2 linked regions of the Arabidopsis thaliana genome follow. The protein of the gene in region 2 interacts with the protein of the main gene of each other region in a pairwise test. Each region holds a gene or a part of one and is shown on either strand. Other genes may lie near its edges.

Region 1 (11,344 bases), 8.0 Mb from region 2:
AATCAGGCTAAAAACACATATTTTTTACTAGAATATAAAATAGATAATATTGTGCTGATGCTAATCAAAATTAAAAGGTAACAAATTATTAAAGACATATATTTAACTTAATTTAAATGTACATCTGCGGTGCTAGCACTAGTTTATATAATAAGAACAAAAAACCTAATGATTTAATTTGAAAAATAAATTTAAGAATATGACCTTCGAGTTCTAAGAAAATTAGCTTGTTAATATTTTTTTTATTAGAAATGAAAATTTATCTTAGAATAAAAATCTCCTCAATATCTATTTTCAACCTCTTTCAAAGATTTGAAAATATTTTTTTTTTAATATTAGTAAATAAAACTAATTAAATAAAATTAGAAATCAAATTGATTTTACTTAAAAACACTTTAAAGTTTAAACCTCTAATCTAGCTTTTATTTTTGTACCGCCATTAAAAAATAACGAACCCAAACCGAACTCAAACCCAGACCCAAACCCATGCCCATACACAAATCACGAATGCCTAGGCTTACTTGTGACCGAAACCGAATTGAATCATATATAGTTTCAGGTCACCTGTTGCACAATCTCTGCTCAGCCCTAAAAGCTTACTCCTTTCAACTTTCTGGAGGCCTTCTCGTAGCCTAGCGTCATAGATGGATTTGATGGAGAAGAACTTGGAGTTAGTGGAGATTCAGAAACTAGAAGGCCACACCGATCGTGTTTGGAGCGTAGCTTGGAACCCCGTTTCTTCTCACGCCGACGGTGTTTCACCGATTCTTGCTTCTTGCAGTGGCGATAACACTGTTCGAATCTGGGAACAAAGCTCTCTCTCTCGCTCCTGGACTTGCAAGGTCTCTATCTCATTTCTCTTTCTCGCAAGAAAGTTCTAGCCTTTTTTGGACCTAGCAAGTTCAATTCACAAAAATCTATTGATTCTCTAGATCAGTCTTACATTACAATTTGTGGGTTTTGTTTCGATTCACTAAAGAGATTAACTTGACCTTAAACATGGAATCGACTGGTGATTTGGATATGGTGTAGGACTGTTGTGTTAGTTCTTGTGCTATTTCTCTAGAAAGATTTATTGATTGTATATTGTGAATCTTCAGACAGTTTTGGAAGAGACGCATACAAGAACTGTGAGGTCGTGCGCTTGGTCACCCTCAGGACAGTTATTGGCCACTGCAAGTTTTGATGGTACCACTGGCATTTGGAAGAATTACGGTTCTGAGTTTGAGTGTATTTCCACTTTGGAGGTACTTTCTAGCCCAATCCTTGAACCATCCACAAATTGTCAAATTCTTATCCAGAATTAGTTCTTTGAACCTGAAAGCATAACTTTTCACAGCTCCTGTTTGCTCTTTTGACTTTGTTCTTTCTTGATCTTTAATGCTAAGCTCAAACTCTCATGGAGTTTTTCAGTGTTCACTTCATAGTTCATATTTAATTATGCTCAAAGCTTTTGGTGGTTTTCTTGTACTGTCTTTATGCTTTGTATCGCACGTTTTTGGCTAGTAGAATCTTATTAAAAAAAATGTGTGTAGGGACATGAAAACGAAGTCAAAAGTGTATCATGGAATGCATCTGGTTCATGCCTTGCAACATGTAGTAGAGATAAGTCTGTTTGGATTTGGGAAGTGCTTGAAGGGAATGAATATGACTGTGCTGCGGTATTAACTGGGCATACACAAGATGTGAAGATGGTTCAGTGGCATCCCACCATGGATGTTTTATTTTCTTGCAGTTATGATAACACCATCAAGGTAATGCGAATACTCTAATTAGGTTTTAGTAATGCAGAACTTGAAATTTATTACACAAAAAAAAAAAAATTATATAATTGAATAACGCTAGTGGCGTGCTACTCACAGGTTTGGTGGTCTGAAGATGATGATGGTGAGTATCAATGTGTCCAAACCTTAGGTGAATCTAACAAGTATATCTTCTACTTTTTCTTATATGCTTTCGATTTTTTTCTTATTAGGCTCTTACTTTTGAAGTAGTAGATTAATATATGCCTTTCTTCTTCAAACAGCGGTCACTCTTCAACGGTATGGTCCATCTCATTTAACGCTGCAGGGGACAAGATGGTCACTTGTAGGTTAGTGAATCTTCTCTCCTTGTCTCCCATAGGCATTCTAGAAGCAATGTAATCTGTCTCTTGGGATATTGTTCTTACAGTAGCAAGCTTGCCTGAATGTGTATTTGCAGTGATGATCTAACCTTGAAGATATGGGGGACAGATATTGCCAAGATGCAGTCTGGTGAAGAATATGCACCTTGGTGAGAAAATAGTGGGTTATTACATGTAATCGAATTTATTTGTTTCTTACGTTTAGAGCTGGACGTAGTATGTAGCCTACAAGATTATTTGACTTCTTCAAGAATTTTTCTCCGTCCAATTTTGACTAATGTAATCCTTACTTGCTCGGACTTTGCAGGATTCATCTTTGTACTCTCTCTGGCTATCATGACCGTACCATATACTCAGCTCACTGGTCAAGGTATTGACACCTCACATGTTTTCTTTAAAGCATCGTGTAACTCTGCCTAATTTCTAAATCTGCCAGCCTAAAAGGAAAAACTCTTTGTTGTACCTGATATTTACGCTCCCAGTCATCTGTCGAATGCATCCAAATTGGGATTTTTAATGCTCTTTCGTGAGACTGTGCTGAGTTTAAACTCAGTTTTGTTTTGTTTTCTTTTTATTTTAAATTTTTGACAGGGACGACATTATTGCCAGTGGAGCAGGCGATAATGCTATACGGTTGTTTGTGGACAGCAAACATGACTCTGTAAGTTGAATTTGGTTAATATCTTTCCATATATACACGCCTAACTTACATATCTCAATACAAGAAACCAAATGCAGGCAGCAGATTCTATCTCTCCTAGTCTTGCCAATGGTTTACCACTATACAATTAAACTTTTCTGCTTCATCTTTGAACTTAAAGTCATTCTTTTGTGTACCAGGTTGATGGACCTTCATATAATCTTTTGCTGAAGAAGAATAAAGCACATGAAAATGATGTAAACTCTGTCCAATGGTCACCCGGTGTAAGTTCCATGTTTCTTATGAAGTAATAGACACAAGTGCATACTATTTCGTACTTGATACATGGTTGCAATGATTAAGTATAGTCTATATGGCATCTTATAAATGTGAATTAGAAGTTAGAACATAATACTCAAGCTTAGTTTTAGGATCAGAGAAATGATGCCATTGATTACTCGACTTACATTGGCCCAAGTACATGTGGTTATGTTGTCTATGATTTTGACCTTGGAATTGTAACCTGCTACAGGAGGGGAACCGGTTGCTTGCGTCGGCTAGTGATGATGGGATGGTCAAGATTTGGCAGCTTGCAACTAAACCGTGACTGCTGTTGGTTTGGATAGGTTCTGAAACTCCTGTGTTGTTTTACTTTTTCTGAGGTCTATCTGTAAACAACATAACATTTTAGGTAGAAGAGAACTCTATACTATTTTGTCATACAAGATTAGCTCCATGATGTTTCATACGATTTCTGTTTTACTTTTACTACGATCACTTAAGTTTTAACACTGTTGGTACAACTTTGTGGAATTTAATAAACAACTTTTTGACGAAACAAAAAATACATAGCTGATATCGTACAACTTTGGAGAAACTTCTTTTTTCCATATAAATAGCAAATTTAGATGCAACTCATATGGTTGCTGCTTGTGCTTGTAAGATCTTACAATATTTTTTCTTTTTGTTAATACCTAACAATACATTTATTTGGATATTGTATGTTTTTTTCTTAAGGGCCTCCGAATATGTATATTTTTTTCCTTTACTATGACACATCACCTCTAAATAATCTACGGATTAGGAAAAAGAGAACAATTTTTTAAGATTAACATAATTTTGGAGTTGAAAGCTAGATGGTGCCGAAAGGAAAAGAGAACAATTCTTAAGATTAACATAATTTTGGTGATACATCATATTTATATTTCTCTCATACTGCTTCAAGTAATTATGTTCTTAAAACAGTAAGTAGCAATTATGAACCAGGCAAAGAGTAGTAGCGAGAACGAAGAGAGACCGATGAGGAATGGCCAGCCGACAAGCACCACCCCCAAAGACGTGACCACAGCACATGGCAGAAACGAGCGGACTACTGATGAACCATTGATCCATTTCCCTTTGATCATAAGTAAAATAGCAACATTCACCATATTCCACTCCATTGAGCCACCATAGCAAAGACGGTTCAAACAGTTTGCAACAAACGAATGGCAGTTACAAGTGAAGATGTTGTAGGTTTTATGCTCAAAGCTACGTGTGCTCGAGCTCAGTGCATTATCCCATGTACGCGCTGTTCCAAAGTCGGTGTGTTTGAATCCATACTTGCAAGTATGTCCACCCATATTTGGTGGTAAGCAACACTGCCACAAACACACACATTTGATAAAGATTAAAAAGTTCTTATAATTTGATACAAAACTAACAAAGTCCATGCATAACCAGATTCTACTTAATAAAGAAGCAGATACTAATACCTTGGTTCTATCGAGTTGGAGATAGCGAGCAGGAGGACCAAATGCAAAATCATCAACATTGATGAAGTTAGATCCAGCAAAGTCCAAAATGACTCCATCTTCTCTGCAAAGTCCAATATGACCAATGAAAGGAGCCAACCAAGAGACAACAGGAAGAGGAGTCCAAACTATACAGCAAGGAAATTTCGACTTCTTGGTATCAATCTCAGGTAGTGGCCACAGATCAGCCTCATCAGCTTCGATTATTGATGGTATAGACACGGACACCACCCTGTCTTCAACATCATAACTTCGTTTCAGGTCCATCATAGGAACTCCTCTTCCACGTGACATTTTTAGATTCCTAATCACACAAGACAAGAGCAGTCTGATCATTATAGTCCAAACAAAGAGCGACCCATTTACTAAAAGAATCGAAAGTTAAAATCTTTTGATCAAAATGAAGCAAAAGTTTCAATCTTTTTAACAAAGCATGTCCGTATATTCATTCTCACAGCACTAATTGTGTAGTAATCTCCTAACTTGAGCCTAATTCAGATTTTCAGCATTGTGGGTTTCTCTGTAAATTTCACCGGAAACTAAACAAAACCCATCAAAAGCATTTCCGTAGAAAACAGTAAAAATCACAACAAAAAATCATAATGGAAAGCTAAGAAGCAGGGAATAACAGTGGACTGTGTTTTACATTTACCTGTCGGAAACTCCGACGCCGATGTCTGAAGGATCGACGCAGAGAGGAAAAATCGATGAAAGTGATGCGAGAGCTTGGAGAAGGAGAAGAAACTGATGCTTTGTGGAATTTGATGAAGAAAGAGGAGATTTTTATAATTGGTTTTCTAAAGTAACGCTTCTTCTAGTTTTAGGAATTCATTGAAGACAATGGAGAAAGGTACAATGAACCTTTGGTTGTTTATCAATTACTGCACTGTCTTAATTTTATTATTATATACTAAGTTAATTATTTTAAGGAAAAAGGGACGTTTGCTTTATCAAAACTTTGAACAAAAAAAAAAGATCTACGAATTGCAGTTTTACTAGAAAATTTTGAAATATTTGAATATCCTTCTCAATTGCAGTTTTACTATCAGAATCCAGAGCTACGAAATTATAAAATTTGTATTTTCAGTAATAAAAGCTCAAATACTGAAGAGAATCCAATGTTTTTTTTTTGTAACAAAGAAACCGATGTTTATATATTTAGTTTCCGTAAAATTTGGAGTCAATCTATAAAACTCAAATCTCTTGAACGATTATTTCTAATTTGTCGTGTTTGATTACCGTTGTCGTTATTCATTATGGTTGGATAAATGAACACATGGAAACCTCAATCTCTATTATAGGTATAGAGTGACATCGTATTTATGACAATTCGACAATTGTTTATGTTTTTCTGTCGGACGTAACGGTTTTAAGAATCGAGAAAACTTTCTTGATTTAGGGTCCTTGCATCTATCATTCGTGTTTGCCTTTTTGAGACGAATCATGTGCATGCGAGTCAGATGATCTGACAACTGACAAACAGAGAATCCGATGTTTAAATATTTAGTTTCCGCAAAATTTGGAGATGACTTATGAAACTCATAACTCTTGACCGATCAATCTTAATGTGTCTTATTGATTACCGTTGTCGTTATTAATTATGGTTGGATAAATGAACACATGGAAACCCTAATCTCTATTATAGGTATAGAGTGACATCGTATTAATTAATAACAATTCGATAATTGTTTATATATGTCTGTCAGACCTAACGGTTTTGAGAATCTAGAAAACTTTTTTTATTTAGGGTTCTTGCGTCTATCACTAGTGTTTGTCTTTTTGAATCAAGCCACATATGCTTTACAAGGTTGATTTGTTCTTAAGAGAAATGTCAGGTGCTCTAAAATAGTGATAAAGCGTAGGATAGATGAGTTGTTTGCTAGAGAGGTAACCGAACAGGGCTCGATGAGAATATGCTCCTTTAATCACCTTTCGGAAGAAAAAAAAAAACAAGCATTAGTATATAGGATAGGAAAAAATCATTATGAGGTTGGTCCTCTCAAAGATTCAGTGAGAGTCTAGTTAGAATGAATTAATGTGGCTATACAGAAAATCTATTTTCTGTGAGGAAATACAGGTTTTGGTTCAAGGACTTAGGGCATCTCTAATGATGACCTCTATATTTTCCTCTATTTATAGAGGTGACCATTGGAGATGGTTTTAGTATAGGTGATCTAATGTCCAATCTGATATTTAGTAGAATAATGCTACAAGTCTGATTAGTGGCAATTGAAAAAATTAGCAGAAACATAAGAGCATCTCCCATGTCCTACCTTTATTTTTTTTCACTATTTTAGAGTTGATTTTGTTCCAATGTGTGTCTCTAAAATAGAAAAGATTAGCATTGGTTAGAACTGCTTTTTGTTTTTTTTTGGCCAAAATGTAGAAAAGTGAAATTAAATTTTAACTCTACCAAGTTCCTAGTTTTCTTTGGAAAGGAAGTTCAAGTTGGTATTAAGCTTTTTTTTATAAAAAAAAATCTAACTCTACCCAAAGGAGAGAGAAAAAATAACTACTTCAAAATTTAGATTCCTTTCCTTTAATATTTGGTTGTTTCTTTCACTAAATTTTTTTGTCTCCTTCACTTCCACTTTTTACTCTACATGCAACCATTCAGAACCTATATGTTGTCAGTCAGTTTGTTTATAAAACCTAGAATTATGGTTATTTTGCCAAATTTCCTAATTATAAAATGAAACAATAAATATCCTAAGAATTCAAACTTTTTTCAAAGAGATCATATGGCATAAATATAACCACGATGGTGATCACATCATCCAAATGGAATGTTATACGTATAAGAAAGTGGAACATAAAGAAATGTATTTTATTAAATAAATGAGGGAAGAACTTAGGACTACGTATGTACATTGTACAGGAAGTGAAAGTGAAAGTGATGATGAGGCTGGGAAGAGAAGTAAAAGCCAGTAAAGATACGTTTCTGGATCCGGTATGAGTCCGAATCGCCCCATTGTGGGTTTTGGTGCGAGTGCGAATCGCTTCATAGTGGCTTCATTTAAGCAGACACTGCAGCTGCAGCCTGTTCTTCGTTCGCCGGTTGGAGAGTGCACACCAGATTACGGTCTCCATACACGTTGTCCACTCGCCCTGTTTCACACATATTTAATACATTTTGAAACGATTTACAAATAACAAATTGTTTTCTATGGGAAATGCCACCCCTAGTTTTCAAGTACCTGTAGTGGGCCAGAACTTGGAGGAGCGGAGCCATGGAGCGGGGAAGGCTGCGTATTCCCGTGAATACGGCTTTTTCCATGTATCTGCCATTAGCAATGACGGAGGATGTGGAGCACCCTGTGTGTGTTTGTTTTTTAAAGTTCATTAGTATCAGACTAGAGGGCTAGTCCGAACTGAAATTGTGGTCTCAAATTTTTTCTTACCTTCAGAACGTTGTTGTTTGGATCTGCGTTTCCTTTCTCAATCTGTGAAATCTCTTCCCTGATCGAGATGAGAGCATCACAGAACCTATCTAACTCAGCCTGAAATATTACATATATATATACAAATTATGAAGCCATGTTTTAGAGACTGAGAGCTGAGTCAGTGAGAGATTTGCAATGCAATGCAAGACATAATTACCTTGCTTTCGCTTTCGGTTGGCTCGATCATAAGCGTTCCAGGGACAGGCCAAGACATTGTCGGTCCATGGAAACCATAATCCATCAATCGTTTGGCCACATCCTCTGGTTCAATTCCAGCAGTGTTCTGAGGACATTGAACAAGACATTGATTTAGCATGTACAACCAAAAAACAGAGCATTTACTCAAACGAGATAAAGAAACATACCTTGAATCCTCTCAAGTCAATGATGAATTCGTGAGCGACTGTTCCATTGACACCACGGAAAAGAACTGGGTAGTGGCTCTGAAAGACAAGAAAGCATAAGTGAGGTTGCACAAGAGAAGAGACGTTCACTCTCTTTAAAGAGTTGTCAAGATAAGATAAGGTACCTCCAGACGCTTTGCCATGTAGTTAGCGTTCAAAATTGCAATCTTTGAGGCATCGGTGAGTCCTCCAGATCCCATCATGGCAATGTAAGTATACGAGATTGGCAAGATAAGCGCAGACCCCCATGGTGCTGCAGAAATGGTTCCCAGCGGTGATGTCTGCTCGGGTTCAGGGATACCACCGGTAGGTATCTGTAGCAGAGTAAACAGAATGAGTACAAAAAAGCAGATAACTCAATCATTGAGAAAGATGGATTAGCGATCATAACATATAAGAATTAACACTAACCACTGGGTGAGAAGGTAGGAATGGAGCCAAATGTTGCTTCACACCGATAGGGCCCATTCCGGGACCTCCACCTCCGTGAGGGATACAGAAGGTCTTGTGGAGATTGAGATGGCAAACATCCGCTCCAATAAAACCAGGGCTTGTCAAACCCACCTGGAAGTTCCAAAAACTTTCTCAAATTCACAACTTTTGGATTCTTCAGTCAACATACCAGCAGAGAAACCATACCTGTGCATTCATATTAGCACCATCCATATAAACTTGGCCTCCATTTTCATGAATTATGTTGCAGATCTCGTCGATACCCTCTTCGTAGACTCCATGGGTGGAAGGGTATGTAACCTAATATTCAAACAGAAGTTGTAGAATTAGAAAGTGGATTGACCCAAAAGTGACATTGTTTCATCTATAGTGATGAAAGAAGTAAATACATACCATAAGAGCAGCCAAGTTGTCCTTGTTGGCTTCGGCGGCGTTCCTCAACTCTTCGATGTTAATGTTTCCTTTGGCATCAGTTCCAACGGCAACAATTTTCATTCCGCACATGGCAGCACTAGCAGGGTTTGTCCCGTGTGCAGAAACAGGTATGATGCACACATTTCTGTGATGATCGCCTCTTGACTGCATCATTTATTCACCCATTTACCAAATTTGTTGAAGTGCGAGTTCATATTGGAAAACAAGAAACTACAGGTATGCTTACCATATGATATGCACGGATAACCATGAGCCCGGCGTACTCGCCAGCAGCACCGGCATTAGGTTGCAATGAGAAAGAGTCGAATCCAGTGATCGTACATAAGAGCTCACCCAAATTCGTAAACATTTCCTATAAGTTGTCAAACAAAAAATTCAGTACGTAGTTAAATTTCTAGTCAGGTAAATCAAATATGTGGCCTCACCTGATAACCTTGGGCTTGTTCAACAGGAGCAAAAGGGTGCATGTTGGTGAAACTTGGCCATGTGACTGGCATCATTTCAGTGGTGGCATTCAATTTCATCGTACAAGATCCAAGTGGAATCATGCTGTGGCACAATGATAGATCTTTATTTTGTAACTTGTGGATGTACCTAAGCAACTCATGCTCCGTGTGGTACCTAACCAAATGTAAGAAAAAAGGGAAAGTAAATGTGAGGTACTTAACAATAAGCCACAGGGCAATGAAGGAACCAAGATTTAAAGAAGGTAACATACATGTTGAAGATTGGATGGGTCAGATAAGGGCTCTCTCTTGTTAGGCTAGAGGGAATAGCATTGTTAAACTCCGGTGCAAGAGACTCAGCCGTGAATTGAACCTTGTACATTGGAGAAAACATTATTTTAAGCAAACACGAAAAAAAAGAGTGAACAAGCGAGATGAATGGATATTAGCTTAAAGTAAACTCACGGGCTTGCCCGAAGCAAAAACTTCAAAAAGTTTATCGACATCATCCAAGGTGGTTGTTTCATCGAAAGCAACAGTAATCTTAAAGAACAAGAAAAAAAACCCATCAATGTTAATAATCATATCCAGATATTGAAGAAATATATATATATATATATATATATATATATATATGAAGAAACTCACAGTGTTGGAGTCCACAAGACGCAAATTGATCTCCTTCTTGGCTGCCACATCAAAAATTGCAGTTGCATCTGAACATGTAACTTTGACAGTGTCAAAGAAGGGAAGATCTTGGACTTGTGCAGTTCCCAGTTTCTTCAATCCTAAGGCAAATACACCAGCGAGACCATGAACCCGTTGTGCAATAGATTTTAAGCCTTCTGGTCCATGGTAAACAGCATACATAGCAGTCATATTTGCAAGCAAGGCCTACAATGTAGAAAACGATAATCAATAGCAAAATAGTTTGAAGATGTAAAATATGGTACTGCTCTCTCGGTACCTCTAATTCTTCCCGCTTTTGTTATCACTTATCAGTAATAGTCAAAGCGGTATACACTACATAAATCCTATAGAGTTTGAAGCCATTTTTACCTGAGCGGTACAGATGTTGCTGGTAGCTTTATCCCTGCGGATATGCTGTTCCCTAGTCTGCATAGCCATACGCAAAGCTTGCTTCCCGGAAGAATCAACACTAACACCAATAATCCTCCCAGGCATCATTCTCTTATACTCTTGTGAAGTAGCCAAGAAAGCAGCATGAGGACCACCATAACCCATCGGAACACCAAACCTCTGACCCGACCCAACAACAATATCCGCCCCAAACTCACCCGGCGGTTTCAACATCGTCAAAGCCAACAAATCCGTAGCCATAACAACCTTAACACCATTAGCATGAGCATTCTTAACAAACTCACCATAATCCAACACCTCCCCTTCAGTCCCCGGATACTGAACCAACACTCCACACACATCACCAGAGCTATAATCCACATCCTTAATATCAACCGTCACAACTTTCAAATCGAAACCATCCGCTCTCGTCTTGCAAACATCAATAGTCTGAGGATGACAATTACTAGCAATAACAAACGTCTTCTTCTTCCCCTTTAGAATATTATTACACATCGCCATTGC
Region 2 (11,344 bases):
AAGAAAAAGTAATTTATATATTTTTAGTTTCAATTTATATTTACACCACATTGTAATTTAGTTAAAATCTAAAATATCAGAAATATTTGATTGTTAGCCCACAAAATTGTACGTTTGATTTTTATAAAATAAATTATGAATTCTATCACAGATCAAGACTGCAACAGGATAAATTAAAAAAAAAAAAAAAAACGCAACAGGATATTAAACTATAAAATTTAGTTTCCAAGATTCTGGTGAACGATCTTTGCAAGTCTACTATCACTCCGGAAACGTTTTTTTTTATTATATATAATAACAATCACTTGTTTAATAAGTTGCATAGAAACACGAATGTTTGGTTTGTTTTACCAAACAATTAACATTACACGGTTTAAAAAAGAAAAAAAAACTTTACTTAAGAAAAATATTCTCATATTTTTAATCGTCTTCTAGTAATATAATATAGAAATACTAACATTACATTTCGAAATTTGATTAATAAATCCCCTCTCGAATTAGTAAATTAAAAACCAACATTCTTCATTTCTTTGTGTCCTTTTTTATGACACATTGAATTCTGTGTCTTTAAAGTGGCAAAAAATAACCGACAGTATAAAGGTTGAAATTATGTGGAACGTTTTTGCTAAAAATAATTCTGTGTCTGTGTCATATTTTTGACACACACTGACACACATTCCTTCTTTGTAAGTATGCCCTCACCCATTTTTATTATTAAGTACGAATTTAATGGAATCTACTGCATTTTTATTTTTATTTTTTTTCGTCAAATGGAATCTACTGCATAAGTTGGTTGTTTTATCAAAATCAAGTAAATAACACAAAGCTCATGCTAGAAGAAATTGGGATTGGCATATATCAACAAAGGGCCTACTGATACGGCCCATTAACATAAAATAAATAAGACATTATAGTCCAATTCTGAGCGATGGGCCAAATGGCCCAAATCTTCACATAAGAAGCCCGTTATTACCAACAAACGAAAACCAAGAACAGTAAGAAACTCTTATCAATCTGTTCATCATAATTTGGTCTACTTGTTGTTGTAGAATCTGAGAGCGAAAGCAACGCCGAGTATCAAGAGAGGAATTAAGTAGATAAGCAGCTTCTTTCCAGATTCTTCTTTAGTTGTTTCCGCCGCCGTAGATTCCTTCTCCCACGGCGGAATATACTGTTGCGTCACCGGAACCGTTGACTGGTCAACGTCACCGATACAGTATTTCTTCATTAGCTCCTTGGCATCTTTGCTATGGTTCACATCTTCGAAATCGATCGACGCGTCTTTCCCTTTAAATTTTCATAAAAACTCACAAAATTACAAACCGATAAATTCAAACTAAACCGGAATAAACCAACTCGTACTCGTACGTACCGGTGACGGCGAGGAGAACATTGTCACCTCCGGGATGTTCGTCCATGAAAGTGCTGATGTCATAGACCTGTGGATAAACATGTGTTTAGAAACAAGTATAAAGCTAAAAAAACAGAGCATTTATAATCTATAAATTTGTTTACGTGATTTAAAGAAAGTAGAAATATGGACCTTTCCATGGATGAGAATCCAACAATCGTTCTTGCACTTATGTTTAGCCACATCGTGAAACGAAATTAGATTCGCCATATGATTACTTTTGGTTGCTCGTGCTGAGAAAGTAACTTGAAACAGAGAACTTTATATAGAGACTTCAAATAAACTAGGGTTGAAGCAAAATAAAGAAAGCAAGATCGTGAGGGGAAGAGTTTCTAGTTTCTACGAACCGATGAAAAGACAGTGCGTAGCTTATGGAGACCACACGCGTTATGTTTATATTGTAAGCTGTTGAATATTATTATTACTAGATTTTGATGAAATTACAGTCTTATTTGGGGTAAATAGTTTAATCTTAGCTCTTTGAAGATGTAAGGGAACAAAGCAATGTATATCTGACCAGTTAATATACATAGTTGTTTTTGTTGAAGTTTAATACTATTCTTTTCGTATAAAATTGTTATTACGAACAAGGTTAAAAAAAGGTACCTACCATAGTAAAACGTGAAGAATATGGAGTTTGTAAGTTAATGGATTGGTAGCTGAGAATGCCTCCAAGTGGTCAGCGACCTCAGGTTGGTGAAGCTCTTTCACGTTTTAGTTTTCTCTTATAAGAAAAAGGAAAAAAGAAAACAAGTCAAAAAAAGAAAGAAAAGTCAAGCCTCAATTTTCTTTTGTTTACTTTAAACTTTTAAAAAGCCTCAAAATCACTTTTCTGATTAGGCCCTTTTTCAAAATCACTTTTCTGATTAGGCCCAATAACGCACAAAAGGGCTTTCTGTTTTGAGTAGGATAATTTAGTCCTTTATCAGTTTATGACTTTAGGTTTGAAATTTCTTCAAAACTGACCAAGCTATAGCAGACATGATGGAATACTATCACAGATTCACGACAATCCACGATTTTAGAACGATGCATTGATATACGTATAAATAAGAAAACATATGACATAGTAATAAAATACAATATGCATAACAGGAACAAATACTAACAACTTAGTAATGTTTGTAAGAAGAAAGCAATACATCTCAACAGTCATAACAATACCAACACATTCTGAAATAAGAACAAAAAAATCACATATATTATAGGGAGTAGAACAATAGATCCAGAGATTGCTCTTGTACGATGTCGTCGTTCTTAGACTTCTAGGCCACGCAATCTGTCCACAAAGCATATATATACGAGCAAATGAAAGAAATAAATCATATCGAACCCCTAAACCAAAATAATTAAGAAATACAAACCTTGAATTTTAAGAAGATAATGTGACTCGAGAGCTTCACAGTTCCGAGTTGGCTTGTATGGAACGTCCTTCTTTAAAGCCTTAGTTGCATCGACATCTGGATGGATCTTCTTCTTCAACATCCTCTTTATCATCTACAGTAATATATACACATATATAATGATGCTATACTTGTTGACATCGAATGAATATTTACTCACATATGAGTACACTTATGAAGCAACAAAAGTGATGTAATTGTAACATGCACGAATAATTATCTAGATCTTGACGTGACATTGTTTCCCTTGAGCTATAGAGGCACATGTAACATGTTCATATATCCATCATCATCAATGTTTCATAGTTACGGAATTGACTAAAACAAATTTAAATACCTGACGCATTTTCTTGATTGGACGTAAGTCGTTTTCTTCCTCTTTGGACTTTGACATGACCAGCTTCTTCTTAACAAACGAGAACCTCTTGCTTAGTTTTGAACCGTTTTGTTTATAGTACTTAACCTCCTCACCGTCAAGATTAGGGTTATTGGGTTTCTTGCAATGCCACGTGTCATAACCTTTGTCGTGGTCCTCCATGAAAAGCTCCGCAAGTGTTGTCCTCTTCTTCTGTGGCTCTATCTCGGCCTCGGCTGCCGCCGTGACAGCTGGCGTTTCAGCGGTTTTGATCGAGCCAAAGTGATCAGTATCGGCCTGTACGTACAGATTCTAATACGAAAGATCTCAAGAAATTCAATATCAAGAGTCAAGAAGATATAATTTTATGTACTTATTTTATGTACTTATTTCTTTGCGTATAATGGCCTTAATTGTCGACAGAAAAAAAAATGACGATCTCGATTGACTCAAATGCAATTTCTGCATTTATATGTCTTTAAAGTCATATTTTGAAAGAAAACCCAAATTTTTGTAGATTAGTGAACGTATAATCCTTCCATTTTAGTTAACTTATTTCTACAATAACAATTAAACTAGTTTAAAGATTTTAAAATTTTGGATTCATTTGAATATACTAATCAAATCAACGTAAACGCACACGAACAATTGAAGCATATGCATGTCATATGTCTATATAATCTTCTCTATTGGTAAATCAACCCGAGGATCATAAAAATGTACTCAATAGAACTGATTAGAATACGTACCCCGACATCTTCATGATGATCATAAAACTTATTTTCAACGGAGATAAGAGGATCCGACTCTTGGTCGACGTTCTTGATGATGCTGCCATCAATTACGACGTAGTCGAGATCCCCACTCCCGCATTCATCATCATCCATTTCATCTTCTTCTTTGAAGTTCAAGGTGTCAAAGCCAAATGTGCCGATGGTGAGAACTCCATCGAACCAATTATCAAGAGCATCCACTAAACCAACTTGATCCAATATAGCTTTCGTGTTCTTCTCAATCTCACTTATTCCTTCATTCCTCTTCTTCTTCTCGTTTTTCCTCACACCATCTATTTCTTTCACCATATGAAAATAAATATAGGTTGGACAAAATTTATGCTTTAGCGAAAACGTGGTATACGTTAATATAAAACTATTTATTAAACAGGGAACCACATGATCCTATATGATACTACTACAAAAAGTAAACTACTATTTTAGTGAAGCTTACGATATTCTAATAAACAAAGGGAAAATAAAGCAAATTTGTTATTTTTTTATAAAATAAAGCTGATATTGATTATCTATAAAAAAAAAAACTAACCTTTGATGACATTTTGGTGCAGCTTTTTCTGCACCCAGTTAAAGATCTTCGAAAAATCCCGGAAAACAATTATAGATTTATAATTACGAACTATATGAAAAAAGGATTAAAGCAAAATAATTAACAACAAAATTTACGTACCGTCATAGTTTTCTCTATTTCTTCTTAGCAGTTGAAAGAGTGAAGAAAGTTCTCAAGCAAAAAAGGATAGTGTGAAATGAGAAATCTATTAAGACATTAAATAAATCATATAGGAGAGTCCTTCAGCTTCTGACACGTGTTAATTACAAAGAGTGGGTTGGATCGGTCTGACTTTTGGGAGGCAAGGCCAATAAGTAGGTGCCACATGTCACTTGCTAATCTGGTCGTCACACTATTCGTTGTCCCACCCTTAATTATTAAGAAATTGCTTTTTGACCCGATTACTTATAAATTATCAAAGTTTGACAAGAAAATTTTAATACTAATTTTCAGTGCCTCCTTGATCTTTCCGTGGTTCATTTCTTGTAATCTTGTTGGTAGACTTCTGTTGCTTTCAGTGTTTGTATCATTTGATTAGACATCAAAGGAAAAATTCGCTGCATTAAAGCGAAAGTTTTGGTTTCAATCAATTTTTAAAAATGGACGTACAATTTTAATATCTTATTTGAAAATGTCATATTCACCAGCTTTGGATTCCCTCAAGAAGGGTCCAAATATAGTGGAAGCAATTCGGTCACTGTGGTCACTATAATATAAATGTCGCGGAATGTCATCGCGGATCATTCTTCACTATCAACAATAATGTATTCAAACCCTAGCGTCAAATTTTCAGAGTGATAATCATCAACGTTTTAGAACGTTGACGTAAAATTATCTTCAAAATTGTAAAAAGCTATGCCATTGCCATTTCTCTTGACAGAAACAAGCTATACTTAAATTATTGACAACATTATTAAGTTGTAAATTCCAAATCACATGGCCAATCCGTTACTAATGGATTAATTGTAAAATGTAATAATTTACGGATTTATAATCTGTGACCAACTTTACTCAAATTCTTCAGTTGCAACTTGCAAGGTCTCAGATACCTATTAAATCCTCAAAGATACAATATTAAAGATTAGGAGGACTATATGCATAATGCATATGCATATGCACATGCAAAGTACCCTCTAAAGCTTTTTGAAGAGCACACAAAACCACACACATACTGTTGGGATTTGGACACTTCACTCTCCTTTCTCTTTGTCAGTTGCTTCTTGTTCTCGAATTTTTGGGATTTGGACATTTTTTCTTGTTATCTTTTGCCTAATTATATGGCCAATTTATTCAATTGCATAAGTTTTCGAAAGTATTGTATTATGATTTTATAAGGTAGTGATGTTTTTATTTGCTCCTGGTGAATTTTAAATATTCACAAAAATCGACTCAAGAACTAATAAAGAATAAATCAGCTTATAAAAGACCCCTCTGGCTTTTCAACTCCTCCAATTTCTATTTTATGCATTCAAAATGCTCACTTTAGTTCCCCACTTCTTTTTCAGATACTGTTACAATCACTAAAACGATTTGTGTAGAATAGATTCTACATTACAAAAAAAATTAAAAATATAAAAGCATATACATTGGTTGGGATATTTTTGTATAAATAAATAATGTGATCTTATTAGAGGGTTTATTGAAGCATGAGCTTTTCTCATAACGGACACAGGAACCAATTAGACATTTGAGTTGATTTGAAAGTCATTTGATTAATAATATACAAGGTTTGGTTCTCTTTTCTTCACATAAACTTGTCGCTTGTGGCACAATAATCTTTTGGATTCAATTATCCAAATCGTTACCCCAATTGATAAAAGTAAATATATTACGGTAAATACAAATTGTTTATATAGGCCCATAGGTATGAATATGGGCTTATGTAGTATACATCGGGCCTTCACAATAATATGGGTTTCATGATTATTATTAAAGCAATAACTGATTTCTCATTAATTACGTCAGAGAGAACCAATGCGCGCGTTTACAAAAGTAATTAAAAAAAGAAGTTCGTTTTAAGTAAACGAATCAAAGCCTCCATATAAGTGAGAGGGTTCCAAAAGCTTTAGAGAAGAATCAGAAACCATTAACCCCACTCATATTTTCTTTATTTTTTTTCATTTATTTTAATTAAATCGAATTTATTGCAATTTTAAATCCAAAACCTTTTTTTTTATTTTAGTTTAGTTTTTTTTCTTCTTTCATCAGTTGGTGTATCCGCCATTATTACCGTAATCACTGACATGAAAACCATTGTCGGAGCCAGGTTTCCGGGAGATTTTAAGATGAACGCCGGGATCATGATGAGATGCCGTCGAGTTGTAGACAATGGAGTTGTTTATCATCTGAACGTTACTATTCATAAAAGCTTTCATTGGGAGGTTACTATTGCCTTTGTTAGGGACGTTCTTCGTCGTTTTCTTCTTACCTTCTCCTTCGTCGCTGCTGCTACTGCTGCTGCTTTGAAGTCTCCGTCCTTTCTCTCCGGTGCCGTGTGAAACCCTAGAGGAATGTGTTCCTGAACCACCGGTTTTGTTGCCTTGAGGAGATCGTAGGATCTCCATTACTGCACCTTTGTTTTCACCTGCAATGGTGATGACTCGTGTGCTCATTATGTTCTCAGAATCGGACGAAGATGGTTGACGATGCATCTTCTTGGGGTTGTTGCCTTGATGGTTTTGGTTTTGGTTATAGCTATGGTTTTGGTTATAGTTATGGTTCTGGTTATAGTCATGGTTATGATTCTGGTTATGATGATTTGTTTCGTGGGTTTGGCTTGTTTTCTCGGCAGTGAGAATGTTTTTCTGAGTGGTTTCACGTTCGGAATGTAACAGAGAAGCTGGGAGAGAGTAAGGTGATAGTACTCTCGGTGATGGTGCTTTCCGATGATTCTCTGACTCTGATGGAGACCGAGTTTTCACTGACTCAGATGTTGTAGACCGACTTGAATGAGCTGGACTCGGTGGTGAGTTCGGTTTTCGCGGTGGTAAGGCTTCTTGAACTTCCTTGGGAGATGGTGGGGACGTGTATGACGACCGAGGCGGTGGCGGAGGTGGTGTCGCAGCCTTTGGTGGGGTCGGTGGTGACATGTGGCGGCTTGGAGGTGAATGATATGGGGACCGCTCTTGAGGGGGTGAAGTTGGAGGAGCCTTCTGACGTGGAGGGGTAAGAGGCTGTTGCTGCTGACGTGGAGGTGAAGGAGGATCTTGCTGACGTGGAGGTGAACGAGGTTGTCGCTGACGTGGAGGTGACGGTTGTTTTGCCGGTGGTCTGACTACGAGCGAACTGCGAGAGGTTGGTCGAGGTTGAGGTGGAGGTGGGTCGCTTGAACCTTGCGCTGTAGGCCTAGCGATGCTAGAGAGACGGAACCATGGACGAATGTTAGACATTAGTGTATATTTATTTGAATTGTAATTATATGTTATTTATAAGTGTGGCAAAACACAATGGAACGATTTAGATATCATGTAACCAAAGCTTATATATAGATAGATTATAAACAAGTGTGTGTGTTGAAGAAAAGTGAAACACGAGAAACATGAAAGGAAAAAGGTAAAAATGAAGAAGAAAGGTATCAGATCCATGCAATGAGATTTACAGCTTGCAAAACCCACATTTTACGATTGGTATCAATCGTTAAGAGCCACATTCAAGCTTTTCCTTATAACTTATCTATCACCGTTGATAAATAAATAATTCAGGTTCTAGATTCGTTGCTATGTCTGGAAAAAGTGTGCATCTAGTCACAGTGACGCAAAAAGACGACTAAATCCGCATGAAGAACAAAATCTTTACAAATTACTATAGTCCCTCAACTAGCTTGACCGACTATGTATCCTCTATGTGTGATTTTAATGGTAGCTGGGATGGATCATACGCCGAAATCTCATTGAGTTAATTTCAATTTATATCATTAATTTTAACTTTGTTTCACTTTTTTTTCTCTAATTATGTACGTGTTTCAAAAGAATGCTAATTACTAAGGAGAGAGTAGTGCAACGGTTGATATTGTTTCATTTAGGATTTTTGGACAACTTGATTTTATTCAACGATTGTTAAACTATATCAAAAGGGAATTGAAACTTCAGAAACCAAACATCGAATACTAATAAGCAATAAAAAGTAATGTGCTAGCATCTTCTTCAGCTTTTCTTTTTCAAATTCATAAAATTAAAGTATTGATCACTACTCTGAGCCATTAATTCTTTCCTTTACGAATAAAAAAATTAAATATCTTATGATCATTTAAAAAAGATACAATGGTTCAAAGTGTATTATTGGTGGCTTATTGGGCGTTAGAAGTATCTATATCAAGCGTAGCATCTAATTATAAGCCTCTCTTTGTTGTTCAATTTTGCATTTTCTCATAAACATCACATATATAGTCGAAGTCAACATAATTAGGAAGATCTTGAAAAATTAATACACATTAATTATTTTCTTTAAGAACCAAAAATAAATATCTTATATGATCATTTTAACAATATACAATGGTTCATAGTGTATTATTGTGCATCAGAAGTCACCTACATATCAAGCGTAGCATCTAAATATAAGCCTCTCATTTTTGTTCAACTTTACATTTTGTACACACCACAAATTTAAATCATATATATTTTACATTTTTCATATAAACATCACATATATATAGTAAGTCAACAGTATTAGAAAGATCCTGAAAAATTAATACTAATATCATAACTTTTTAATACTAAGAGTGACGTTTTTTCTTTCGTCAACTGGTTAAAAGAGATCGTATGAGATAACATGTTACTAAAAATAGTCTAATCAATTATTCTATGTTGTTATAAATTATCAACAAAAGTATTAGGAGTGTAACATTCCAAGTTGTTATATAAAGATATGCATAGTATCTTTTAAATTAGCTTTCACATCCACTTGCCTCTTTCCAACAATTTTATTCATTGATGCAAATGGTAGTTTTAGTAACCAATGAAAGTGAAACTAACGTTTAAAGAATCTTTTGAAATTTTTTTAACTCGTTAAATTTGGTTAATTTTGAATTCTAATATCTAATGGCAATAAATAAAAGGCATTTAAAGTTGTAAGACCATCCTTATTGCAAGTCTCTTACTATAACTCTTAGGTATAATTAATCAAAATGATATGTGAATAGTTTAGAAGTGTTTCTAAGAGATAAAAGAAGGTTTAAGAGCTTCAAACCATTACAAAAACTCTTAGCTATAATTTTTTTCAATAAAACAATTCATCATAATAGTCGAGAGATAAAATTAAGAGCCTACTATTAAGGTTGCTCTAACATGCCCATTGAATTGGGTAAATTGTGTAAAGGCCCATCATCCTTAAGAGGTTCGTAATGGCCTTTCGTCAATAGTTCGATATACTTTTCAACATAAGCAATTATAGACTCCGTTTTTATTCATAGCGGATGCGAAATAAATCAGTTCAAATAGTTCGTGTTGTGGACTTTAGTCAAGATTCAAGAATATAAATCAGGCTATTTGTTATTTTCTCATATTATCCATTTGAACCTATATTTCTTTACTATTAAGTCAGCGTCAAAGAAAGACTAAAACTTCGTTCGAAACACGTTTTGTTGTTGTTAGAATTTAGTTTTGTTAAGTTTGCCTCGAATAGTCAAAATTCTTAAACACATGGAAAAGTTTAGTCGGATTATACGTCAATAAATTTATACCAATGAAGTCTCTTTATAGAATATGTTGATCATACAATGAGTTCATTCTTTAATGTGGTAGCTCACATGCAAAATATGCTACCTAAATGCATTTTTCCTTTCTTCTAACTTGGAGTAAACATAAGTCCTCAAAACAAAAACAAAAAAAAACATGTAGTTTTAGTAATTTTTAATCCAACTCGGGATTGATTATTTTGAATACATTATTTGTTTATATTTAATTATCGGTTTGTTTTTGGTTTTTGGATTTTTGAGTTATAAAATGTGTAAGAAATATCATATGTTTCAGTTTTGTTTGACCTGGATTTGCAGTATTTAAAAGTTTAAATACGGTTTTAGTTTGGTTTAAATGGGATCAACTAGATTGATCAGCTCGATCTTAATATATGCATAATTGAACACGGAATCATGATGAATGCACATACCGATGACGTTCAACTGGTACAACTTTACAGGCAATCGATTAGTGCAGAAAATGTAAAGCAAAAGCTGATAAAAATAACGGAAGAACATTTATTTCCAGTGAGTGTAATTATTATTAATATAGGACCACCGTGTATGGGTATGGCTTCAGGAAATTTGAAAATTCCCATGCTGAAACATTCAAAGTCTTTTTGAGTCCGCCAATACACACCTTGTATAAACGAAGCTATTCTTGTTTGAAGAGTCCTCCAAATTACAAACAAAATAAACAATGAAAAGTCTGCACGTTAGTCTTTAGACGAAAACATATTTAAGTTTGCATGATATTAAGATTCAAAAAAAATCTACATTAAGCAAAATGAATGCTTTAACCAAATAAAAAGAAAACAACAGATAGATAACCAAATAAGAGTTATATGATATAGACTTATACCTTAACATAATTAAATGAGTGTTGATATTTCTTGTACCAAATAACAAACACCAAACACATGCAATCTTATAAAAAGACCACAAGTGTATTTACTCATGAACATGACACTTTTCTTGTAACTGTAATGAATTAATTATGATTAGTTGCGATATTATCCAAATTACTGAGTCCCTCGTTGAATGGCGGTGTTTTGGTCGATTAAACTTCTTTGTAGTAGGCTGATTTTTGGTGCAAGTTAGGAAATACAAATATCCGATGCTCTCGCTACATATCAACAATAAGCAAAATATTAAAACTATTA

Evidence for each region. The genes of interacting proteins can lie anywhere in the genome.
Region 1: the proteins of CB5-C (region 2) and RTE1 interact in a two-hybrid assay, tested with the Arabidopsis thaliana proteins (one study listed by BioGRID).

What each region holds. Positions count from the first base shown.
Region 1 is NC_003071.7:11,101,756-11,113,099, forward strand, and holds RTE1 (protein REVERSION-TO-ETHYLENE SENSITIVITY-like protein (DUF778)), read right to left. Parts: upstream 5,434-11,344; 5' UTR 5,211-5,433; intron 4,863-5,210; 5' UTR 4,853-4,862; coding exon 3,986-4,852; 3' UTR 3,850-3,985; downstream 1-3,849. Other genes in the region: emb1345 (Transducin/WD40 repeat-like superfamily protein), read left to right, coding at 645-842, 1,101-1,247, 1,536-1,754, 1,863-1,927, 2,027-2,092, 2,203-2,274, 2,433-2,495, 2,717-2,786 and 2 more; GLDP2 (glycine decarboxylase P-protein 2), read right to left, coding at 7,575-7,666, 7,756-7,873, 7,960-8,058, 8,159-8,284, 8,367-8,444, 8,531-8,719, 8,817-8,969, 9,045-9,158 and 7 more. UniProt on the Arabidopsis thaliana protein: Acts at an early step in the ethylene signaling pathway. Positively regulates ETR1, leading to the negative regulation of ethylene responses.
Region 2 is NC_003071.7:19,142,084-19,153,427, reverse strand, and holds CB5-C (cytochrome B5), read right to left. Parts: upstream 1,948-11,344; 5' UTR 1,622-1,947; coding exon 1,544-1,621; intron 1,440-1,543; coding exon 1,373-1,439; intron 1,288-1,372; coding exon 1,034-1,287; 3' UTR 689-1,033; downstream 1-688. Other genes in the region: AT2G46640 (NAD-dependent protein deacetylase HST1-like protein), read right to left, coding at 2,747-2,908, 3,152-3,481, 3,919-4,241, 4,490-4,535, 4,631-4,636; AT2G46630 (serine/arginine repetitive matrix protein), read right to left, coding at 6,715-7,899. UniProt on the Arabidopsis thaliana protein: Membrane bound hemoprotein which function as an electron carrier for several membrane bound oxygenases, including fatty acid desaturases.